Linked DNA regions of Xenopus tropicalis. The protein of the gene in region 3 binds, or shares a complex with, the protein of the main gene of each other region. Links are inferred from orthologs where the notes say so. Each region holds a gene or a part of one and is shown on either strand. Other genes may lie near its edges. The genes, in order: strada, stk11 and cab39.

What was found.
Region 1: the proteins of cab39 (region 3) and strada are in contact, whole or in part, in a crystal structure (PDB 3GNI), measured with the Homo sapiens proteins. The link is inferred for Xenopus tropicalis from reciprocal best matches to the Homo sapiens genes CAB39 and STRADA. Residues at the interface, in NP_001124321.1 of Homo sapiens: Leu26, Glu27, Lys28, Gln29, Tyr55, Gly56, Thr57, Asn58, Ala85, Asp86, Gln88, Leu89, Phe92, Glu93, Lys96, Arg107, Glu138, Leu141, Ile145, Ser176, Thr177, Phe178, Asp179, Ser182, Asp183, Glu221, Asn222, Tyr223, Val224, Arg227; in NP_001003787.1 of Homo sapiens: Pro64, Leu104, Glu105, Cys107, Ser108, Asn109, Val112, Gln116, Leu119, His120, Lys123, Leu124, Phe125, Asn126, Thr136, Phe137, Ile138, Asp140, Asn141, Leu143, Tyr185, Met189, His223, Gly224, Arg226, Val426, Asp427, Asp428, Trp429, Glu430.
Region 2: the proteins of cab39 (region 3) and stk11 are in contact, whole or in part, in a crystal structure (PDB 2WTK), measured with the Homo sapiens proteins. The link is inferred for Xenopus tropicalis from reciprocal best matches to the Homo sapiens genes CAB39 and STK11. Residues at the interface, in NP_001124321.1 of Homo sapiens: Gln109, Gly111, Thr112, Lys196, Leu197, Leu238, Asp239, Arg240, His241, Phe243, Met246, Ile250, Val280, Ala283, Asn284, Pro285, Glu317, Gln318; in NP_000446.1 of Homo sapiens: Gln100, Arg103, Arg104, Glu165, His168, Ser169, Gly171, Leu201, His202, Pro203, Phe204, Ala205, Ala206, Asp207, Asp208, Phe234, Arg301, Ser307, Arg310, Lys311, Lys312.

Annotation. Positions count from the first base shown.
Region 1 is NC_030686.2:17,096,194-17,103,789, forward strand, and holds the start of strada (STE20-related kinase adapter protein alpha), read right to left. Parts: upstream 4,106-7,596; 5' UTR 3,996-4,105; intron 3,237-3,995; 5' UTR 3,187-3,236; coding exon 3,175-3,186; intron 2,915-3,174; coding exon 2,857-2,914; intron 2,056-2,856; coding exon 2,027-2,055; intron 3-2,026; coding exon 1-2. UniProt on the Homo sapiens protein: Pseudokinase which, in complex with CAB39/MO25 (CAB39/MO25alpha or CAB39L/MO25beta), binds to and activates STK11/LKB1.
Region 2 is NC_030677.2:100,091,013-100,098,647, reverse strand, and holds the start of stk11 (serine/threonine-protein kinase STK11), read left to right. Parts: upstream 1-2,852; 5' UTR 2,853-2,970; coding exon 2,971-3,269; intron 3,270-7,635. UniProt on the Homo sapiens protein: Tumor suppressor serine/threonine-protein kinase that controls the activity of AMP-activated protein kinase (AMPK) family members, thereby playing a role in various processes such as cell metabolism, cell polarity, apoptosis and DNA damage response.
Region 3 is NC_030681.2:128,014,201-128,021,925, forward strand, and holds the start of cab39 (calcium-binding protein 39), read right to left. Parts: upstream 4,575-7,725; 5' UTR 4,027-4,574; intron 1-4,026. UniProt on the Homo sapiens protein: Component of a complex that binds and activates STK11/LKB1. In the complex, required to stabilize the interaction between CAB39/MO25 (CAB39/MO25alpha or CAB39L/MO25beta) and STK11/LKB1.

The DNA.
Region 1 (7,596 bases), on a different chromosome or scaffold from region 3:
GTCTGAGATCCGCAAGGAGAATGGCACCCAACAGGAGGCAAAGGGAGACAAAATGAGACGGAGAAATGGTAGAACCTTCATTTTGATTGATCAATGACATGGGGTATATTCAAAGAATGGGATGAACTGCATTAAAACTGTGTGGATGTGGATGGGGGAGTAATACTCTACTTTCATCATGCAGCCATATAAAGGCAAAAAACTGCAGGCCTTATACAGCTAACTATTCTTTGCATTTCAACTCAGCACAACAGGACTTACCCCTGCTGAACAGGGAAGCAAAGCATTGCTTGTTTTGCTATGTAGCCGATTGTTATAGCTGATACTACTATTTATTCTGTATATGTGTACATGGTCACAGGGTTGGTCCTCCAACATAAATGTGTAATAGAAATCACACAGAGTAGTATGTAACTTATATTTAGTAAGGCGAAGATCAGAGGTGCCCCAAACCAGCACCTATGATTTTAAATATGTTTACATCTTAGATCCAAAAAAATATTCTTCCAAGCCTGTCTATGTTTTTTTTTCTGGCCAAGATACATGTTTAGAATGGGAAAGTGAATGCTGAGGTGACTGGCCATTTCTTAACCTAACACAGAAGATTGTGTAGCCATTTATAAAAATGAGCATAAGCGATGGCAGTGATTTTCTTCCCTGAATGCAAAAATATATAGGCAACTGGTACAGAGTACAGAAATCCGGTAAACTAACTACATCTGACCTCCATCAAGTATTTTTAAGCAGTATGAGTTTCTGTCAAATGGGGAGCAAGGTGCTTTCACTGGGGATTGAAGCATTGTAAAGAGCTGAGAGACCCAATGTAGTAGTAGCAAAGGTGGTTGGGTACGGTACTAATCTGTATATTTTACACACACAGTATACAGTTTGTATCTCACAAACAACAAAACATGGACAGTGGCATAAATCTCATAAATACAAAGGTAACTAATACAGCGGGCCCCTAATAACCTGGGCTTCAGTAACCCTTTTTTGGGGAGAGGCGAAGTCATATGAATGGACTTTATAGCAGAAGAAAAGATGCATTAGCACGATTCTACATGGACTGAAAGGGCACGGAGTCCCACAGAAATGGACACATGCAAATGCCATTCGGTCATGTTCCAAATACAAAGCACAAGACATGAGAATCTTTCTGTACATGAATCACTACAGACAACGGAAGGTGCATAATGTCACTCCACCAGCTAAATGTGCTTGCTCTAGGCAAGGACCAAAAACTTTTGCAAGCTCAGAAATCACTGGATGACACACCATGAAATTGAAATGGCACTACTGTCACTATATGTTAAGAGACTGGCAGCTTATCCCGTGGCCTCCATTGTCCGATCCCTGCCCTACAATATATAAAAGGGGGGAGCTTCCATATTTGAACACATGCACATAAGCTAGAGTGTACGTTTAATTAATCAGTATCATATATAGGTGTTATATTACAGTTTTTGAGACATAAATGGTTTACTAGTGAGCTCCTCAGCCAATCATTTGTCTTTCTTGCAGCATCAAACCTTATTGTGATGTCTGGAACATGGGCATTCCAAATAACCTGGTTATCCTGACGCTAATAAACTGAAACTCCCATCAACCTTTACTAGTCAGCCGGGAAACTGTGAAGCTTGACAGCAAGTAAAAAGGGACTGGAATTAAATGTTAATATCGTGGCTCTGTGTATTTGCACTGCTGGGTTACCTTTCTGCTCAGTGTCTTTAAAATACTTTCAGTTTCAAGCTACAAAATGTTTTTTGTGCTCTCCTGTGCAGTGGCTTTTATTGCATATTCTACAGGAGTTAACAGACCCCATTCTTCTCTACGGGGACTGCACCTACAGGACCACACTGAAAAGCCAAATGCAGATGAGACACAACATGCAGGGTTCCATATGCATGACTTCAATGAATTATAGGCAAGGGATGAGACTCTCCTCCACACCAAAACCGCCAGTCATGAAGAGGCCTACATGCAACATATACACACAGAATGAGCAGAGAGGGAAAGTCCCACTTACTTTCCTTTGAGAGTCCCCTAAATGCGAGTCTGGAGGAAGGGAGAGGATTATCTGCTCAGCTTCATGCAACAGATTAACATAACATAGGCCATAATTATCATAACTAATTAACTGGAAAGCTTGCAATTTACTGTAAAACAATGGCACAACTAGGGATTTTGTGCATTCTAGACCTCACTGATATTTTAATGTAGAATTAAAGACTAAAAATTAATAAGACTAGAGATGCTGTATTTTATATACCAAAACCATTGTTCCAGCAGAGAGGTTAGAACTCTATAACAGTGATAATCAAGGCCTTCAAAGTTGTCCAGAGGAGCTTCCCATCTTGAATGTTGTTAGACCAGATTTTGTTTGTCAGTGACACTGCACATGCTCAGTGCGCTTTGGGCTGCCATTGAGTAGCTAAACTTAGGGATCGTTAGAAATCAACAGGCAGAAAATTGGGTTTGCCTGTCAGAGAAACTGAAGCAGCAGGGTTGATTACATTCTGACGCAGAAACCTCTGATTTCTGAGCATCTTCAGAGGCGCAGATATTAATTTCTAAAGGGCTGTGGTTGCCTTGAGCTAGTAAAGCCCAAAACATGTAACAACTGCAGCCTAACTTTTTTTGTCACGCTTTAGTTATCCTTTAATACTTCTAATAACCTTTCTAATGGAACAAGGCTTTAATGTCAGAGTATTTGTGATCCTTTAGTCAGTAACTTTTCAAACCCCTACAAATTATGACCGGCATGGAAAAGGTTGCTAAGATACCATCCAGGGATGTAGCCTATGCAAAAATTAGTAAATAGCGCTTGTCAGAGTAAAAGTTGCAAGAGCAGCTCACCTCCAAAAAACTCCAGCTCTCTCAAACCATCAACCAGGATCTTGTCTGACACCCAGCGCTGCGGAAAGAGGAGAATCACTGTAGTAATCCCAGCAATAGAGCAAGAGCTAGCCCTAACTAGGATCTTTTGCACGGCAGAATGGGTTTAAATGTATCTGTAAAAGGCATTAAGTTCTGACTCTTGAAACAATGTCAGTTACGCTCTAGGCCTGCTAATCAGCTGCCTTCCACTGCACTGTTTCAAAGTCAGAACTGGCCATGTGCCTTACAAAAAGACCTTATTTAGGCAAATGTATCTTCCTTGGTAGGATTACTTACAAGAAAAGACATGGGGTCCTTTTAGTGCTGCCCGGGCGTTCAAAGGCCATAAACTGTACAGTCTAAAGATAAGAGACATGACACATATGGGGTGCGGCAAAGCCAAGTATTTCATGTGAAAACCCCGCCTAGCAGCTCTTGTCATCACACAGCCGACACTTGCACAGCCGACACTTGCACACCTGACACAGGCTAGCTTCCCTCACTATCACTGCACCAGCGTTACGCTACAGGGTCCCCTTGGCTTTAATAAAACAGCACTTCTTTCAAACCTAGTGTTTTTGCTTTGAAATGCCAGTTCTTAATAATGTAAGGTATTACAAAATCCAGGTGGCCCCAAAGTGTTACCCTTGTATATGGAATTTTATAAATAAGGTTGTCCTGGTTGTCAATGCACAATGCTCTGTTCATTTAGACTTCATCAGTACTCCCACCCAGGGGGGTAACCCTGCCAGCTGGTAACATGCAGTCTATGCAAGCCAGGTTCCACATGCAACGTGTGCCCCAAGTCAGCTCCCTCTAACTCTCATAATCAGCTCTCCCCTTCAGCTAGACTGTTTTGGCAGTCAGAACCAGCAGTGCAGCATGCTGCAGCTAAAAGTCATGATAAAGTATCTTTAGCTTACATTTAGCAGCCCCTGTTTAGGTCAGAGGTATAATGGGTGCCTATAAGTGTGTGTATGACAGTATACCCTGCAATGCATACAACATGATGATTTTGCCCCCCTCCCTCAGCCTCAGAGGCGCAGTTAATAGCGCCAGTAACAGCCCTTATGTATAGTACTAGAGCCGTTCCTATATTCCTGCCAATGAGCGGGTACCTGGATGTGTAGTGGAGGCTTTATTTACGGTAGCGGCTAGTTCCTTTCCTCGGAAGGGACCTTCGTGACGTCACGGTCATGTGGTAATACCATGTGACCGCTCTATTGCGCATGCCCCATTATTGCGCGGTACGTTCAAATACGCAGACGTGCTAATGGTTTCTACTGGCAGATTTTCTGGGGGGGTATCAACTCTGCCTGTGATTTTCTGGGGGGGGGGGGGAGTATCACTGTGCCTCTGATTTTCTGGGGGGTATCACTGTGCCTCTGATTTTCTGGGGGGGTATCATTGTGCCTTTTGTTTTCTGGGAGGGGTATCACTGTGCCTCTTATTTTCTGGGGGGTAATCACTGTGCCTCTGATTTTCTGGGGGGGGTATCAACTCTGCCTGTGATTTTCTGGGGGGCGGGGTGGTATCACTCTGCCTGTGATTTTCTGGGGGGGTATCAACTCTGCCTGTGATTTTCTGGGGGGGGTGGTGGTATCACTCTGCCTGTGATTTTCTGGGGGGGTATCAACTCTGCCTGTGATTTTCTGGGGGGGGGGGGTGGTATCACTCTGCCTGTTATTTTCTGGGGGGGTATCACTCTGCCTGTGATTTTCTGGGGGGGTATCACTGTGCCTCTGATTTTCTGTGGGCCTTGGGGTGGGGGGGGTCACTTTGCCTCTGATTTTCTTTGGCCTATGGCGTGGGGGGATCACTGTGCCTCGGATTTTCTGTGGGCCTTGGGGTGGGGGGTGGTATCACTGTGCCTCTGATTTTCTTGGGGGGTATCAACTCTGCCTGTGATTTTCTGGGGGGGGTGGTATCACTCTGCCTGTGATTTTCTGGGGGGGGTGGTATCACTCTGCCTGTGATTTTCTGGGGGGGTATCACTCTGCCTGTGATTTTCTGGGGGGGTATCACTCTGCCTGTGATTTTCTGGGGGGGTATCACTCTGCCTGTGATTTTCTGGGGGGATATCACTGTGCCTCTGATTTTCTGTGGGCCTTGGGGTGGGGGGGGTCACTTTGCCTCTGATTTTCTTTGGCCTATGGCGTGGGGGGATTACTGTGCCCCTGATTTGCTGGGGGGGTATCACTGTGCCTTGGATTTTTATTTGGCCTATGGGGTGGGGGGATCACTGTGCCTCGGATTTTCTGGGGGGGATATCACTGTGCCTCAGATTTTCTGTGGGCCTTGGGAGGGGAATCACTGTGCCTCGGATTTTCTTTTGGCCTATGGGGTGGGGGGATGACTGTGCCTCTGATTTGCTGGGGGGGTGTATCACTGTGCCTCGGATTTTCTTTTGGCCTATGGGGTGGGGGGATCACTGTGCCTCTGATTTTCTTTGGCCTATGGGGTGGGGGGATTACTGTGCCCCTGATTTGCTGGGGGGGGGATATCACTGTGCCTTGGATTTTTATTTGGCCTGTGGGGTGGGGGGATCACTGTGCCTCTGGTTTTTTGTGGGCCTTGAGGGGGGGAATCATTGTGCCTCTGATTTGCTGGGGGGGGTATCACTGTACCTCGGATTTTCTCAGGGGGTATCACTGTGCCTCTGATTTGCTGCGGGGGTGTATCACTGTACCTCGGATTTCCTTTTGGCTATGGGGTGGGGGGTATCACTGTGCCTCGGATTTTCCTGGGGGGGTATCACTGTACCTCGGATTTTCTCAGGGGGGTATCACTGTGCCTCGGATTTTTTCGGGTGGGGTATCACTGTGCCTCGGATTTTCTGGGGGGTGCATCACTGTGCCTCGGATTTTCTGGGGGGGGGATCACTGTACCTCGGATTTTCTGGGGGGGTATCATTGTGCCTTTTGTTTTCTGGGAGGGGTATCACTGTGCCTCTTATTTTCTGGGGGGTAATCACTGCGCCTCGGATTTTCTGTGGGGGTATCACTGCGCCTTGGATTTTCTGTGGGGGTATCACTGCGCCTTGGATTTTCTGGGGGCGGGATCACTGCACCTCGGATTTTCTGGGGGGAGGATAACTGTGCCTCTGATTTTCTGGGCTGGGGGGTATCACTGTGCCTCTTATTTTCTGTGGGCTTTGGGGGGGGGGGGGTGAATCACTGTGCCTCTGATTTTTTTGGAGGGGTATCACTGTGCCTTTTATTTTCTGGGGGGTAATCACTGTGCCTTTTATTTTCTGGGGGGGTATCACTGTGCCTTTCATTTTCTGGGAGGGGTATCACTGTGCCTTTCATTTTCTGGGAGGGGTATCACTGTGCCTCTTATTTTCTGGGGGGTAATCACTGTGCCTCGAATTTTCTGTGGGGGTATCACTGCGCCTCGGATTTTCTGGGGGGTATCACTGCGCCTTGGATTTTCTGGGGGGGGGATCACTGCACCTCGGATTTTCTGGGGGGGGATCACTGTGCCTCGGATTTTCTTTGGTCTATGGGTGGGAGGATCACTGTGCCTCTGATTTTCTGGGCTGGGGGGTATCACTGTGCCTCTGATTTTCTGTGGGCTTGGGGGGGGGGAAACACTGTGCCTCTGATTTGCTGGGTGAGTGGATCACTATGCCTTTGATTTTCTGTGGGCCTTGGGGGGGAATCACTGTGCCTCTGATTTGCTGGGGGGTATCACTGTGCCTCAGATTTTCTTTATGCCTATGGGGTGGGGGGGATCACTGTGCCTCTCGGATTTTCTGGGGGGTTATCGCTGTGCCTCGGATTTTCTGTGGGCCTTGGCATGGGGGGATTACTGTGCCCCTGATTTTCTGTGGGCCTTGGGGGGGTATCAGTGTGCCTCGGATTTTAATTTGGCCTATGGGGTGAGGGGATCACTGTGCCTCTGATTTTCTGTGGGCCTTGGGGGGCGTATCACTGTGCCTCAGATTTTCTTTTGGCCTATGGGGTGGGGGTATCACTGTGCCTCGGATTTTCTGGGGGGGTATCACTGTGCCTCGGATTTTCTTTGGTCTATGGCAGGGGTAGGGAACCTATGGCTCGGGAGCCAGTTGTGGCTCTTTTGATGGCTGCATCTGGCTCGCTGCCAAATCTTTAATAAAAAAAATAATGGGGGGTGTGGCCTGCGCTCGGCGGATAGAAGACATGTTCTAAGCCTTAGAAAACGTCTTCTATCCACTGAGCGCAGGCCACACCCTCCTCTGCATCGCATCCGGCATCCTTGGGACCCACCCTACCTTGCCCCGCAGCATCCACGGCCAAACATATTGTATGACTCTCACGGAATTACATTTTAAAATAGGTGGTGTTTATGGCTCTCTCAGCCAAAAAGGTTCCCGACTCCTGTCTATGAAGATTTTCATTAATCCAGGTCATGGTATATCTAGTATAAATAAATTTGAAGCAACTGGACTTGTTTAGTAATCATTGAAGACGTTTCACTACTCATCCAAGCAGCTTCTTCAGTTCAACTGACTGGTATGGGAAGTCCTCAGCATATATACTCTTCCACTAATCCAATCACAATGGCACTATGTAACTCTTCAGAAAGGTGTGAATGCTGTAGAGTTACTTTAGTGTAAGAGTATATAGTGGATTAGTGGAAGAGTATATATGCTGAGGACTTCCCATACCAGTCAGTTGAACTGAAGAAGCTGCTCGGATGAGTAGTGAAACGTCTTCAATGATTACTAAACAAGTC
Region 2 (7,635 bases), on a different chromosome or scaffold from region 3:
CCCCATGTTCCTCTATAAAGGGGGCTGCCATATTTGTGCAGCAGTTGTCCGTTAGCATTAGAAGCTATAACTAACAGGCTGAGAAGGGACAGTCAGGTTGGCAAAACAGTCAGGTTTAGGAACTTCATAACAATTACTTACAAAAGCAGCCCTATCAGCAAAAAAGATTAACATGACCTTTGGGTAGCTTTTTATGTAGATTCATATTTTAAAATTTCATTTTAAAAGTGTCATTTCACTTTAAAGCAAAGGTCTGATTGGTTGCTATGTGGAGCTGCACTGGTGAATTTAACTGTTAGTATATCAGCCCCTACAAAGTTTAAATGCATGTCAAAAAGTCTCCAGCTTACTTGGCAGCTTACAACAGGGGAGCACACGTGCTATGGTCTAGCAAGACAACTGATAGACCTGCAGGGTCAAATTAGGTGGACCTGCATCTGATTGAGGCCCACTGGCTTTGTGGATCTCACTTAGAAAGAGTATAACCATTCAGTCAGAATTGTTCCCCCACTGCTGCACAACATCTTGATGCTCACTACCCATAGCACTGCACGTTTTACTGCAACAGTTGTTCCTATATTCCTTTTAATATTGGAACTTAAACATTCATAGACCCAACTCTTGTGCCCCAGTGTACTGTGCCCCTTTGACTTACCATGTAGAACAGTATCCCTTAAAGACAAATCTGCACCATGGAAATTATAAACTCTCAGCGTCCTGTCACAGTACAGAGCAGGAACCAAGCAACAATAACAGAGCAGAACAAATAGAGGAAGGTATGAAGCAACACCCATTATGTCAGCATCACAAAAGGTAATGTTCCTGCTCTTATAGGATTTCATACATTATTAGAGAATATGTAGTTATCACATGACTCAAGTTCAGAAAAATTCTGTCCAAGGGGTAAAGTACTTTGGCAAGTCAAATGGGGTCTTTAAAAATGTAAGTAAAAATGTCCAGCAGTTACCTACTTGGGTTCTGATTGCAATAGGCCCAACTTTAGTGGTTATTGCCCTCTAGTGGCAAACATGAAAAGTACACTAAAAAAAATCACCCTATCTTAAGAGGTGATTAAAGTACAGCTGCCCTGATACCATGTAAAAAAGCAAGTATTATACTTTTTTGGTCAAATATTGGGAGTAGAGGCAGGAATTACTAAACGCCAAAAAAAACATGAAAAAGTTTTTTAAGTAACTGCTACCCTTGAACAAAAAAGCAGTACAGCTGAGCCAGATCCTTGTGCACACCTCCGCCACACGTGCAAGTTCCAATAAAGGAAAAAACTAAAATAGAAAGAATTGGGCAATGAGGCAGAAAACTTTTTATTGTCCAATATTGATGTTAACCACCATGAAACTATCAAAGCATTTTTTTTAGTAAAGTTGAGCAGGGACAAAAGTGTAAGTCGATGTCTGATCACTTGTTTCTGCTCCTGAAAAGATATTTTTATCCTTATTTATCACTCAACCAGTCATTAATAACATTGCCGCAGTTATGTTCTCTGTAGTGATGATGTCACAAATTCTTCTCATGGGGCTGTGACAAAATGCTGGAAGAGTGGGCCAGATCACCTTTCAAATCCCTCTGATATAGACATAGAAATAGGACCTAGTAAATCCTCCAGGCAATCCCCTTCTTACTGCAGGTGCTGCCAACACAGGGATCAAGAAGCAGCCCAGAACAGGATAAAAAAAAATCAGAGTAGGTGTAATGTTGTTCCATCCATCCCTGTATGAATGTTAACTGTTCCTTTTAATATGCATTAGCAGCTTAGCTGCTATCTAAGATCTCCATGTGGGTTTTCTAGTTCTGCTACATCTGTGTACCAGGTTATCACAGTAGGCACCAGAGGCAGTGCTTAAAGTAGTAAACTGAGCAGCAGGATCTGAAGATTTAACAAGATGACAGCAGGCAGGACCAGTCTGGGATTCAAATCAAGCCATGGCATTTCAAGTACACGGATTAAGCATTTTTAAGTACAAAGATTACTAGTCTGGGCCTGACATCAGTGGTAAGAACAACCAGACACACCCTTATAGGAACCCAGAACTTTTGGCTGCAAAACCGACAGGGAACCTGCACACTTCAGTATTAGGAGAGGAGAGTAAAGAGAAAAATATAACTATTTGTCAATTTCACCCAGTCTTTGGACCATGAGGCAACTGTGGAAAAGAAAGAGCCTAGAACACAAGATTACGTTTGGTTTAGTCACTCATTACTTTCTCTTTCTTAAATTAGCCCTTGTTTTGTCTCCAAACTGAAATCTGCCCCTTTGTTTTACAAAAACACTGAACCCACAGAAAACAAAAAACTAAAGATGAATGCTATCTGGCCCAAGTTCGCACAAAAACGTTCCCTTTTAGTCAAATTCAGAAAAGAGGCTTTAATGACAGCAGGTATTGCGGGAGAACAGGAAAAATTGTCAATTTTTGTGTGTACCCTGGCACAAGATATAAAAAATAAATTGTACTTTTCGCCTCTTTTTGGAGTATTTTCTTATAATTTTGCAAAGTGCTGAAACTCCAGTGATAGCAATTGGGCTACTGCCGCCTGCACCCACTAAGTTAAACAAGGATGGCTCTGCGGGTAGTGGGCATTGCTGGCAACCACACGAAAAAAATAATTTTTCCTACATAACTTCAAAAAAGCAGAGTTCCAACCACAGGAAAACTTTAGGGACACGATTTAGTGTCAGCCTATAGCTTACGGCTTATACTGCTTGATACTTATGTACTACGTCCCCACCCCACATTCCCCCTGACGGCTACGTGTAGCGTCATTACGCTTATTTACGTGTGTGACGTCACATCTATCGCGAGATGAGACTTGTGATGTCTGTAGTAGCTGTCCGGCAGGAGTCAAGGAGCTAGACGTTAACGGCGCTGCGGGACTTTTGAACAGCGAACCGGGACTGCAGGCTGTACTAAGAAAACCGGGATTGTCCCGGGAAAAGTGGGACTGCAAGGAGGAATGCTGTGTCCTTCAAGTATGGATGAAGGGGGGTCACAAGAGATTGGCTTTTTGGGAGACCTGTCAGTAGGAATGGACACTTTCATTCACCGCATTGACTCCACTGAAGTGATTTATCAACCTCGCCGCAAGCGTGCCAAATTGGTTGGAAAGTATCTGATGGGGGACCTTCTGGGGGAGGGTTCTTACGGGAAAGTAAAGGAAATGCTGGACTCTGACACACTGTGCCGCCGTGCTGTCAAAATCTTGAAAAAAAAGAAGCTGAGAAGGATTCCCAATGGAGAGGCAAATGTCAAGAAGTGAGTTTACTATTCCCCTTCCCATCTCCCCATTTTTATTTTAAAGTGTTGCCAAAGGTAAGGAAATATATGGGAGGTTATACTTGAGAGATACTGTGTTACATGTAAAATGTAACTGTTATTTAATAAACCACTCTGGGCTATAACCATTGGGAGAGAAGCTTTGCTGGGGTCATTCATTAGGATCAAAAACTTAAAAAAAAGTTTGAAAGTTACCCTGCATTTCCTATGAACCTTGCAGCATGTAAAGGTTACCTGGAGACTGTACTCAACAAAAACCACAGGCAACAGATATCTGCTTTTAATCTGAGCATTCCCTAGTTTCAGGGGACATAGTGCAAGAGGCATACACATTTGCTAAGGGGGTGGCAGTCCCCTGCAACAACTATAAAATGGGAAGCCACAATCAAAAGAAATGCTCTGTGATTTACAGATCAGTGACATTACGTTATAGCAACATGAGACAAGTAGCCCAGTACGTTATTCCATTTCATGGCTTAAGTCATATGGTTGAATGTTGCAGTTGTCTACTTTAGATTGCATTAGATTTTTAAACCGTTTTTTTACTTGTCTTCATGGCATTAAGTTGTGTAGGGTGCTTTAATCCTAAAAAAAAGAAAAAGAAAAATTGGCCCTGCACTATAGTTTCAGGGTGCACAGTGTGTGATAGTAATCATAACTAGAAAAAATTCCTAAGAAGGGAAGACACACAAAACATTTTTCTGGCACACTGTATACCACAATTAAAAATTGTATCTTTATTTCATCACTTAAAAACTTTGGTTAAAACTTTTGGATAGAAAAAAAGTAAGAAGGAAAGTTAAAATCTAATCTCTATTACCCGGGCTAATCACAAAGTTTGTATCTACTGTAACAACCCTTAACTTCAGTAAACGCTACAGTTGCAAATCCCTTTAGGGAAATAACGATACCCGCTACAACTTTAATCCTGACATTAGAATGCCTATTATATGTCTGACTAATGAAAGACAATGCATTTTGGAGTCTGCTAATTTGTAGGTACCCATGCAATGTCTACTGAATAGGATGTAACGTTGTCCCAATTTTGTGTGGTAACTGACACTATTCCATGTATTTCCCACACTATTCCATGTATCTCAAATGCCTATGTGTCCTGTTACAGCAACTGAATTAAAGTTGATGTTTTTATGTGGGAAGAAAATTGTTTATTTTTTCACAAGTTGCAAGGCTGCAGTTTTTGTTCATGTCTCAATATAATCAATATACTTGTAATCACAGTACAGGTATAGGCTCTTTTAATCAGAAAGCTCTAAAATATGTTGACGTAGAACCCATTTTAAGCAAACTGTTCTTATTTTATTAATGAAATAATATGAAATAATACATATACTAAATGGTAGCTAGGTTGCATGAAACCATGTTGGTGGAAAACAATCCTGTTGTGTTTATTTAATATATTAAGGGCTATGGGCATTTTTAGTTGATTTTGATCCCTGCATTTTTTGGCAAAAAGAAGAAATCTCCTACTAACCAGCCTCCCAGACTCCCACCTCTCTCCCCTGCAATCAATTTTAAACTCTGCTGCCAGGATCCTCCTGCTCTTTCCTAAGAGGGAACCTGCTCAGCCTTATTTAAGCTCACTAGCATGGCTGCCTGTTAAGCAAAGGATAGCTTACAAAATCCTTCTGCTGACATTCAAAGCCCTTCACTCCTCTGCTCCTCACTACATTTCTTCACTGGTCTCCCTACATGTTCCTGGTCGTCTTCTCCGCTCCCCTCAGAGCCTCCGTCTTTTTACACCATCCACACCCACTGCACTCTCTCGTCTTAAACCTTTCTATCTCTCTGCTCCTTACCTCTGGAATTCTATCCCTGAATCCCTCCGTAGGGAAAACTCACCCACTCTCTTTAAGAAAAAACTCAGCTGTTACCTTCTGGAGCACTAAAACATTATTTTGCCCAGTCCTGCGCTTAAGGGCAAATGCCCATACCTGGTGCACTCTTACCTTCCAGTTTGTGCCTGTATGTTACCCAACCACTTAGATTGTAAGTTCTACGGGGCAGGGACCTCCTTCCTACTGTGTCTCATACCACATGGCACTTATATATATATATATATATATATACATACATATATGTATTTATTTATTATATCACTCGTCCTCCCTGTGTGTAATTTTGTATTCTGTAAGACTGTACAGCGCTGTGTACCCTTGTGGCGCTTTATAAATAAAGTTATACGTACGTACGTACGTACGTACGTACGTACGTACGTACGTACGTACATACATACATATATACATTTGTATTAATTGCCAATCTAGGCTTGGTTTCTAAAGTGTATGCTCCTTGTCAGCAGAAAGTAGCTGGATATGGCACCCACTAGCATCCCTTGTGCAACCTTGCCTTTGAAAGGCTAGTCTAAAGGAGCAGGGCCATTCTGGGGAGAATTTGTTCATCCCTTTTATTCTCTGATCTTGACTTTTAAAACAGTTATCCTCCAGTCTGTTAATCAGCTGACATCTGCTACATTGTTTTAAGAAACAGAACTAGAATTGCAGAGAACAGCCAAACCTGTAATGCTTTTTATACCAAAACATTTACCAATATATTTTTATTAATTTATATTGAAAAGTTGATAGTATTACACTTTGCTTCATTTTACACTAAACTGTTTTGGGGTGGATTTCTCTCTTTAAGTAAAATGAGAGGATGGAACAAGGAATCCTTTTTGTGTGTATTTGTGACTTTCTACAGAACTTTAAACTAAAGTAACTGCAATTTGTCCCTTGTAGGAAAAAACAACAACAAATGCCCATTAGTGTAAATAGCATACAGCCTTTACCCGTGTCAGCTAATCTGACATAAACATTTGAATGAAAAGTCAAACAATTTTTAAAACCGTATTTGTAAAACCAAAATAGGTAATCAGGGCATAAATAACATCTTTAAGTAAAATACACCCACAAGTTCCTACAAGGAATTTTTAGTGTCTACATACATCCAGGCTTTTAGTTGTCATAAGGGTAGTATTGAATGGGGCTGTTTATGGCACTTTAAGTATTGTATCTTTAAGTAGTCCACAAACTTTGTATTAAAGCACCTGAAACAGCCCCCATATATTTTCACTGCAATAACCTGACAGGCACTCATACCAGTGCTTTTCAGGCAATAGTTGCCTGAAAGTGGCACTGTTGTACGTAGAGAGCATATTAATTTTAACATTTTTAAGGGCTGTCCAAATTCCATATAAATTGAACTTGGTTTTTCTAATGGTGGTGGTCATTCTTATCGTCACCGCCCATATATTAACTATATGCCACAGAGTGCCTCAACTTTAGGACCGAATTGTCACTGCTCTCTTATACAGTGACTGACTCTTCATGCATTCTCCTCAGCATAAAAAACATTTTGTATAACAATGTTCTGTGGGCAGGAGCTTGTTGCTTCTTAGAACATATGTTTCCCCCACACTAACTTTCTGTTTGACAGTTCCCTGGGCAAGCTTGTTTTTGTTAGGATTGCAGAACTCTAAATAAGGGGATATTTCCACTCACTCTAATAGAAAACTTTTAACAGGTGCCAGTAGGATTTGAATACTGTGTGCAGAAGTGCACAGATATTGGCAAATGAGCTGCTTCAAGATTCATCTTGAATATGTATTATAATAAATTTCTTATCTTTACATGAAGAAAAGAGTTGTGCACATTGAAGATGAGTTTAAAAAGTAGTATTGTTTACCCAATGTGTGAATAAATATATTTGGGTCAAGCAAATTTCATTTTTTGTTAATAAATCAGAACCCAGATTTTATGTTTGCCTGGAAGTTTGTCTGTTAAAATCTCATAGCAAAACTGGAGTTCTACTTTAAAGGAGACGGAAAGGTAAAAATCACTGGGGGAGATTGTAATTGCTTTCCTTTTTCCCCAGGCTGGTTCTCCTCATAGGAAAAAAACACACAAGCCCGGGGTAGCTGCAAGCCAGCAATCCTCTTCTTTGCACCAGTTGCCCAAGCGCAGTAGAGTGAAAAGCCAAACTTTGACAAAAAAGCCAGCCTTTTCACTCTACTGCATACTCGCAGGCCTCGGAATCCAGAAGACAGAAAGAAGAGGATCACTGGCTCACAGCTAACCCGGGCTATTGTGTTTTTTTCCTCACAGAAGCACCAGCCAAGGGTAAAAAGTAAGCGATTACAATCACTGGGGGGTTCCTAACATTAAGCCGTGATTTTTACCTTTCCTTCTCCTTTAAATTGCATATTGGAGTACTCCGGCTGCAAAGTAATGATGCCTTTCATGCAACAAACACCTATGCAGATTTAGTAGTGGAATTATTATTTGTATAGTAGAATTATAATGGATATATTATTTTTATAAGTCATTGA
Region 3 (7,725 bases):
GTAAAAACATATTAATCACTGCTACATAATTACATGTTTATCTTTTTTATTAAAAAAAAATTTGGACTGACTCACTTGGCCACCTTGCTGATAACAGCAGCCTTCTACCACTGAAATGCAATGCAATGCAAAGACTTAGTTCCAGTGACAAGCTAGTTCCTACACACATGGGGACAGCAGGGTTCAACTGCCCCTGTTGGACAGGGGTAATGGAGGTTGGCTGACTGTGAGGTGGTGCATCAACATCAATCTCACATATCATCGAGAAAGAGCCAAGCACTACCAGGGATTTTTTAGAGACCAGGGCAAGTTTCCCTTTGTGTCCCAGTTTAATGATCTGTGCATATTCTGCTTGATTTGACATTTGTTCTCTTTCTTGTTCCCACAATATCTATCTTTTTACAATACCAACCTATTAGTACATTGTGTAAAAACCAGAACAGAAGGGCTTTGGGGAGACAGATGATTAAAGCAGCAGATCCTCAGAAAGGCAAACTGTGAAGAAGAATTTGTTATAGTGCCCAATGTATTCAACACTTCTTCCTGACTTCCTAAGTGCAAATAATACGCATCACATATAGGCAATTAAAAGGGTGGCCCCAGCCTGTACAAGAGCTCTATGGGTTCTTAGTATGCCAATATAATATGGCCATCTTCAAATTTCAATAATTCTTTTCCATTATTCTCAAATGTTGTGTTTTTTTCTTAATCTCAGCTACGCATCTCAGTGTCACAAAGAATGTACTCACTGTAAGGCTGCACACAAGGATAATAAAGTGATGTGCTGTAGATGGCCCTGCTCTGACCTAGCAGCAACTAAGGCACAGGGGTTATAACTGTACCAACACTTGGCACTTGGGTAGGCAGCAGAGAGTTTTTGAAGTAAATAGATGAAGACGGGTAAATAGATGAAGAAGGGTATCAGTAAGGCTAAGTGAGGGCACACAAAAGATACACCATAGGAGAAGAAAGTGATGTAAGTATGCATTTTGGGCTTAAAAAAAAAAAAAAAAAAAAAAAAAAAGATGTTTAGGCCCAATTGAGAAGAACACAAATGGAGCACAAAGATAACCATAGGATACTGATAATTAAGAAAAGAGATAGCTCAGAAAAGTAAAGACTGATATGAGTGGATCAACTTGTAGTTAGGCAGGTTAGGTATAGGCATTATGGTTGAACTTGATGGACGTATGTCTTTTTTCAACCCAACTTACTATGTTACTATGTTACTATGAGTGCCATCAGCAGAAACAAAGTAAAACATTACAGGGGATTATTATATTTTACAAGGGAGGAGATACAAAGAAAAGGCTGAACTCTGTGGTATACCAAAGGACAATTACAACAGAAGAAGGTCATAAGGAAAATTGGAGGTGCGAAAAATCAAGAGAAGCTAATGCTAGGCAAACCAAAGGAGTGGAGAGCTCGGAGAACAGTGGACATGTTTAAAATCACCAATAAAAATGGAGCCTGAGAAAGAAGCGATATATGAGGTAGCTTGGCAATAGCTATAGCGATAAAGAAAATTTAATTTGTAGATGTTTAATAATCATTGGCTATGAGTTATAGACAAAAGCACATACTTCACAACTAATATTACTTCACTGAAAAACGAGACTATACAGGCAACTCTGAGTCAGGTTAGAAAGAGAACAACCTCTGGAGTAACCTCCCCCAGATGGACAGAATGATTGAGATATAGTGCACAAACACACTTACACTTGTGCAAATAAAGTGCTTCAGAGAACACATGTTCATAGGGATTTCTTAACAGTCATGCCATGGGACACACAAAAATAAAGGGCTCAAAAGCTTTTATTCCAGTGGTGAATAGTAGATCAGAAATATTTGGACAAATATAGCATTTAATCTATGGGAGATTATGAAAGGAGCTTGAGGTACTTTGTCCACCACCATCAATTATATATGAATTGAATTCATCTTGTAAGAATGGTGGTGTTGTGGTCACCTACGACCCGAGGGGCCTAAGGGGCACTTACTAACAGTATTTGACTGAGCTTTTTTTCTGTAGAACATCATGAGCATATTTAAGCCTTATTTTTGTCTTCAAGGTTAAACCCTAATTGGTTACTTACTCCTAAAATGTATTTACATTGACCTGAAATCCCAACATGGCAATATTAGAACAGTAACCATGCAACATACAGAGCAAGACTGTGATGCAAATAAGCTTAATAGGGTAGAGGGTAAAGAAAAGTCTTCCAATTCCATATATAAAACAATTAATGCTGCTCAGTTTAATAATACTCAGCATTTATAGACATTCTATGCAATGCACACTGAAAATAAAGTTTGTTACACTCGCAGGAATATTATGGCATGGTATCATAGCTACATAATTAAGTTGGGTTGAAAAAAGTCCATTAAGTTTAACCCTTCCAAGCGAACCCCAGCGCACATACACAGATCCATACCGACCTATCTATAGACTCACATACATAAACTGTAAATACCAACATCAATACTAATTGTAGATTGTTATTACTGATCCTAAATACCAGATCAAACTGCATTTCATAGATGGATGATGCAAAACATTTCACTGCAGGCATATGGGTTATGTACCAATAAACAGGAAATTGCTTCACAAGATGCATCCTGAAAAGACTGGTGAACTACAATTCCCAGCACGCCCCAATATCCTACAGCAGGTCTAGGCACTAATAAAAAAAACATGATGCTGTATATTATAATCTTAATTGTCTGTAAGATTTGTTATTTGTGACTTTACAGAGTGGTTTGTTTACACTGCATATAAGGCATATAATGCTGCCCATGTAAGAATTACATAGACTGTAAGCTCTATGGGGCAGGGACCTCCTTCCTACTGTGTCTCATAGCACATGGCACTTATTCCCTGTGTATTTATACTTATTTATTGTATTTATTATAACACTTGTCCTCCCTGTGTGTAACTGTGTATATTGTAAGATTGTACAGCGCTGCATACCCTTGTGGCGCTTTATAAATAAAGTTATACATACATACATACATACAATTAAATGGCTGGCTGTTGGAGTGGGCATGTGCCGATAGAAAGAAAATAGTATAGAGAATTTATGCAGTAAGATAAATACTTTTAAGCTAATGAGGAAGTCACTAAAAGGATGTGATGATGTGATCACTAAAGCCTGACAGATGCCAGTACAGCTATAGTAAGTAGCACATTAGGCCACTGGTAATGAATATTACAGGCAGATTGTTACCTGCCTAGTCTAAACACAATGGGAGTGATGGGTGGCAGATACAATAAAAGCCTAGGATGTGCCATGGGAGCCAGTAGCATGCCATTCTATGGGCTGCAGAGGTGGGCGACCCCAGACTGACAGGCAAAGACCTGACCGAACAAACACACCTGACAGGTGCCAGTATAATGTTATCATAGAACAACAAACAGCGGCCAGCTGGCAAGCTCCAAAAGCTAAAAGTCAGCAGCAGCAGGCACATTGCCACAAGCACACACCATATCATAATAATGCACGTTTGGCTACACAGGCAGTGAGATGCTGGCCACACACACACACACACACACACACACATATATATATATACACACACACACACATATATATATATATATACACACCCACACACATATATATATATACACACACACACACACACACACACACATATATATATACATACACACACACACACACACACACACACACACATATATATATACATACACACACACACACATATATACACACTCACACACATATACATACACACATACACATACATACACACACACACACACACACACACACACACACACACACACATATATACATACACACACACACACACACATACATACACACACACACACACACACATATACACATACACACACATACATATACACATACACACACATATACACATACACACACATACACACACACATATATATATACATATACACACACACACACATATACACATACACACACACACACACGGCACCAAGTTGCACAGGGAAGGGACATTACACACCAGTGAGCTACAGCGCTGCAGGTGACGGACACACCCTCTCTGGAATCACTTGGGTTCGCCCCTCTGGTTACAGGAGAGTGTCTGTGGGCTTCTTTCTTCTCGGCTCTCTCTCTCTCTCGGGGCTTCCCTATCTCCGCTCAGTGCCAAGATGCCAAGAAGGATAGGCCTCTACTAGGATCCTTTCACTTCCAGATCACTCCCCGGTGCCCCTGGTTACCGGTCACTCAGGAGGGTCTCTCTCCTTTCGGGTCACTCCGGGCGGCTCCTCCCGTCTCTATGGTGCTCTCAGGCCCAGAAGGTTCCTTTTCCGGCGCATAGCATGACGTCACTAAGGTAGCGACTTCCGGACTGCAGGAGAACTGACTGTGCCAATTTGGTGTAGTTCGGGCTTGGGGAGAGATACGTTCTGTGGGCAGTTGAGGGCGCCTTTGTGGCCGTGGGACAGAATATACAGATGATTAGCTTGTACCGTGTTTTTAGAACTATTGTAACGCGTGTCCGAGGAGAAGTACAAACAACACAGCAAATTATTATAAGCATTGACTCATCGCCCTTCTGTTTGTCTCTTTCCTATAAAGAACTGCAGCATCAGCCGGGCAGCATGCTTACTCCTCCCTATTAATAACACCGGCCAGGCGGCATCCTAGTGTATGAATACAGCGCGGAGTTGTAACCCACAGACCTGGGTCTATAACATTTCTTGTGTAGGCAGAGATGTACAAAGACATTTGTCAAAGACCATTTTAATAAATGGCCAATAGGACAAAAATAGGCTTCCTTATTCCTTTGTGTCACTATTGGACATTAAAGAATGTTATTCCATTCGGAACTTATTTTATTCTCTCAGATCTTTAAACAAGGACAACTTTATTGGCACCCTAGGCATACAATTGGGTAGCACAACCAGGTAACTGAAACACCAGTAGGAAAATATCTGAGAAAAACTTGCTGAGTGGTGCTTGTATTACAGAGCATGTTTATGAGCACGCAAGCTGTGAAGGTTCCTATAAGAGACAGTGTTGCTGACACTAATCGATTTAAAAATAGAATTTGTGATGTAATGAATGACTCTTTATCTTGTTTTGAGTAAATTCTGACAAACAAGGCTTAGGAAGTATGCCCCGTGAATGAGGGGGAACGTTCAAATTGTCTAATTGCTCCTATCGTATAAAAATTGTTTGCTAATAAAATCTGCACTCCAAATGGGGTAAAAGCTAGTATTTTCCCAAGAACCCCTCACTATTGCTGCCCCCCTCCAATCTCGGGGATCTCCAGGTGCGTGTGGCTATGTTGGAGCACCTTATTCCCCAGGGATAATACTATTCCCCAGCTCGTTTGTTGGATCAGGGGATGCATCAATCCTACGTCACGCATATATATAATGAGTGAGATGGGGTATTAGCTCCTTTGCATGAGCTCCAACGCGGCCACCATGCCAGGAGCTCCCTCCAGCTGCAAAATATGAATTGTTTCATCCATCTAGAGCAGTGCTGTCCAACTTCTACGGTGCCGAGGGCCGGAATTTCTCTAGCATACATGGTGGAGGGCCGCTAATGGAAGCCAGTTTTGACCACTCCCCTTTTTGAAACCACACCCACTTCAAACCACACCTATTTTATCACAATGGTGGTAACACAGCAAAATCCCAAATGCTTGGTCCTTACTGTGGGGATATCAACCATCATTCATATGTGAAAGAATTATGTCATATTAAGATATACCCTTAAATTCCATATGCCTCCTCCTCCCCTGTGGATAGCAGAGCAACCCCCAGTACATAATTACACACCTTAGGGACCATTTAATGGCTATTTCCAACTGCTAACAAACTCCCACAACAAACCCCTGCCAGGTTCACCTCCCACAAGCAGCATAGAGCAAGCAGAGTATGGCACACACAGGCAGCACTCTGCCTGTCCTATGCTGTCTGTGTGTGCCATACTCTGCCTGTCCTACCCTGCCTATGTGTGCCATACTCTGCCTTCTCTATGCTGCCTCTGTGTACCATACTCTGCCTGCCCTACCCTGACTGTGTGTGCCATACTCTGCCTGCCCTACCCTTCCTATGTGTGCCATACCCTCCCTGACCTATGCTGCCTGTGTGTGCCATACTCTACCTGCCCTATGCTGGCTGTATGTGCCATACTCTGCCTACAGTACCTATGTCTGAGGTGTGAAGAAGTGAACAATGGGGGTGATTACAGTCTGAGCCTAAGGTGTGAACACTGCAGAGGGTGAACAATGCAGGTATTAAAAGGTGTGAAAAACACAGGGGATTACATTTTTAAACAATACAGAGGGATTACAGCCTGAATCTGAGGTGTGAGCCATGCAGGGGGCCAGTTAATCTCAGTACTGATACCATTTAATGCTTACTCAAAGGTAAGCCATCAAAGCAGCCAGACAGGTGGGGGGCCACACAGAGGGGGGTCGCGGGCCGCCAGTTGGACAGCACTGATCTAGAGTATGGGCTCTATTAGCCCATGTCTGTGGTGGGGGAAACAGTTTTTTAACAGATAAACAGAGATCTACCTTAAAGGAGACATATATAAAAATTAAGAATTATACTCCTCTAGATATAGAAGGATTGTGCTTAAAAAAGTAGTGTTTTGGACTGATTTATTGAGAAATTCCACCAAAACCCTACTAGTCCCGCCCATCTGTTCCACTTCCTGCTGGCTGAATTCTCTGGATGTGCAGGGGAGCCGGCGGCTCTCAGTACACTGCACTGTAAGATAGGAACCAATCAGCAGTTAGACTGACCTGATAGGGAACAGAAGCCTGTCTTTGCTTGTGTGAGTGCAGGGCTGTGATTGGCTATCCTCCCCCTGCTGTGCTTTTGGCAGGGACCATTAGGACACGTGCTGTTTGTTCATTTCTGCAAATAAATGATTTAAAGGCATTGCCGACACACTGGAGTGCTTCTTCCCCTTTGCAAAGACCATTAGGACACGCCCACCCTTCATTTGAATTACTGACAGAGTACTTATAGGATCTATAGGGAGCTCCAATAAAGGGGCCATTTTTGCAGACAATATTCAATTTTAGACCAATGTGAAACCAGCACCATATATTATTCATAATTGCCCACAAAATTAGGGGTTTTTAAGTCATCGAAAAAAATTATGATATGTTCATATGTAACAATGCTAATAATGCTAAACAGGCATATCTAGAGGGGGCACACAGACAGCTTGGGCCGCTGGAGCATTACACAAAATCTTTTGTGCCTCATTAATCTTCTGCTAACATTTTCATTCACAACCCAAAAGAGAACCCTTCTAAAAATAATAAACAGCCCTGTTTTGGATATACAAACAATATTATCACCACATTGAAAGGTTTCCCAGCATCCTTCAAAGCAATGGTAAGTGCTGCCAGTAATAAGCTTACTATTTGTTTCACCTCTGAAATATTTCTAGATAAAATGGTTTATCAACAGAGATTTTAACTGCACATAAATAGCAAGATGTGTCAGGGAAGCTTGAGGGGAAGGCATTACATAAAAAGCTGAAAAGGAAATGAAATATTTGCCGTTAACTGTATATGCTGTAGCTTTATTTGCTTGTTGTTTTGCAGTCTACTCCAGCTCTTCCAGATTTTAGGGATGCCTAAGCCCAACTGCAGCTTTCACATCTCTCCAAATGTGTTTAGTTGGATTTAGATTGTACTCGTTGTTGGCCACTTAGTGCAGTCCAG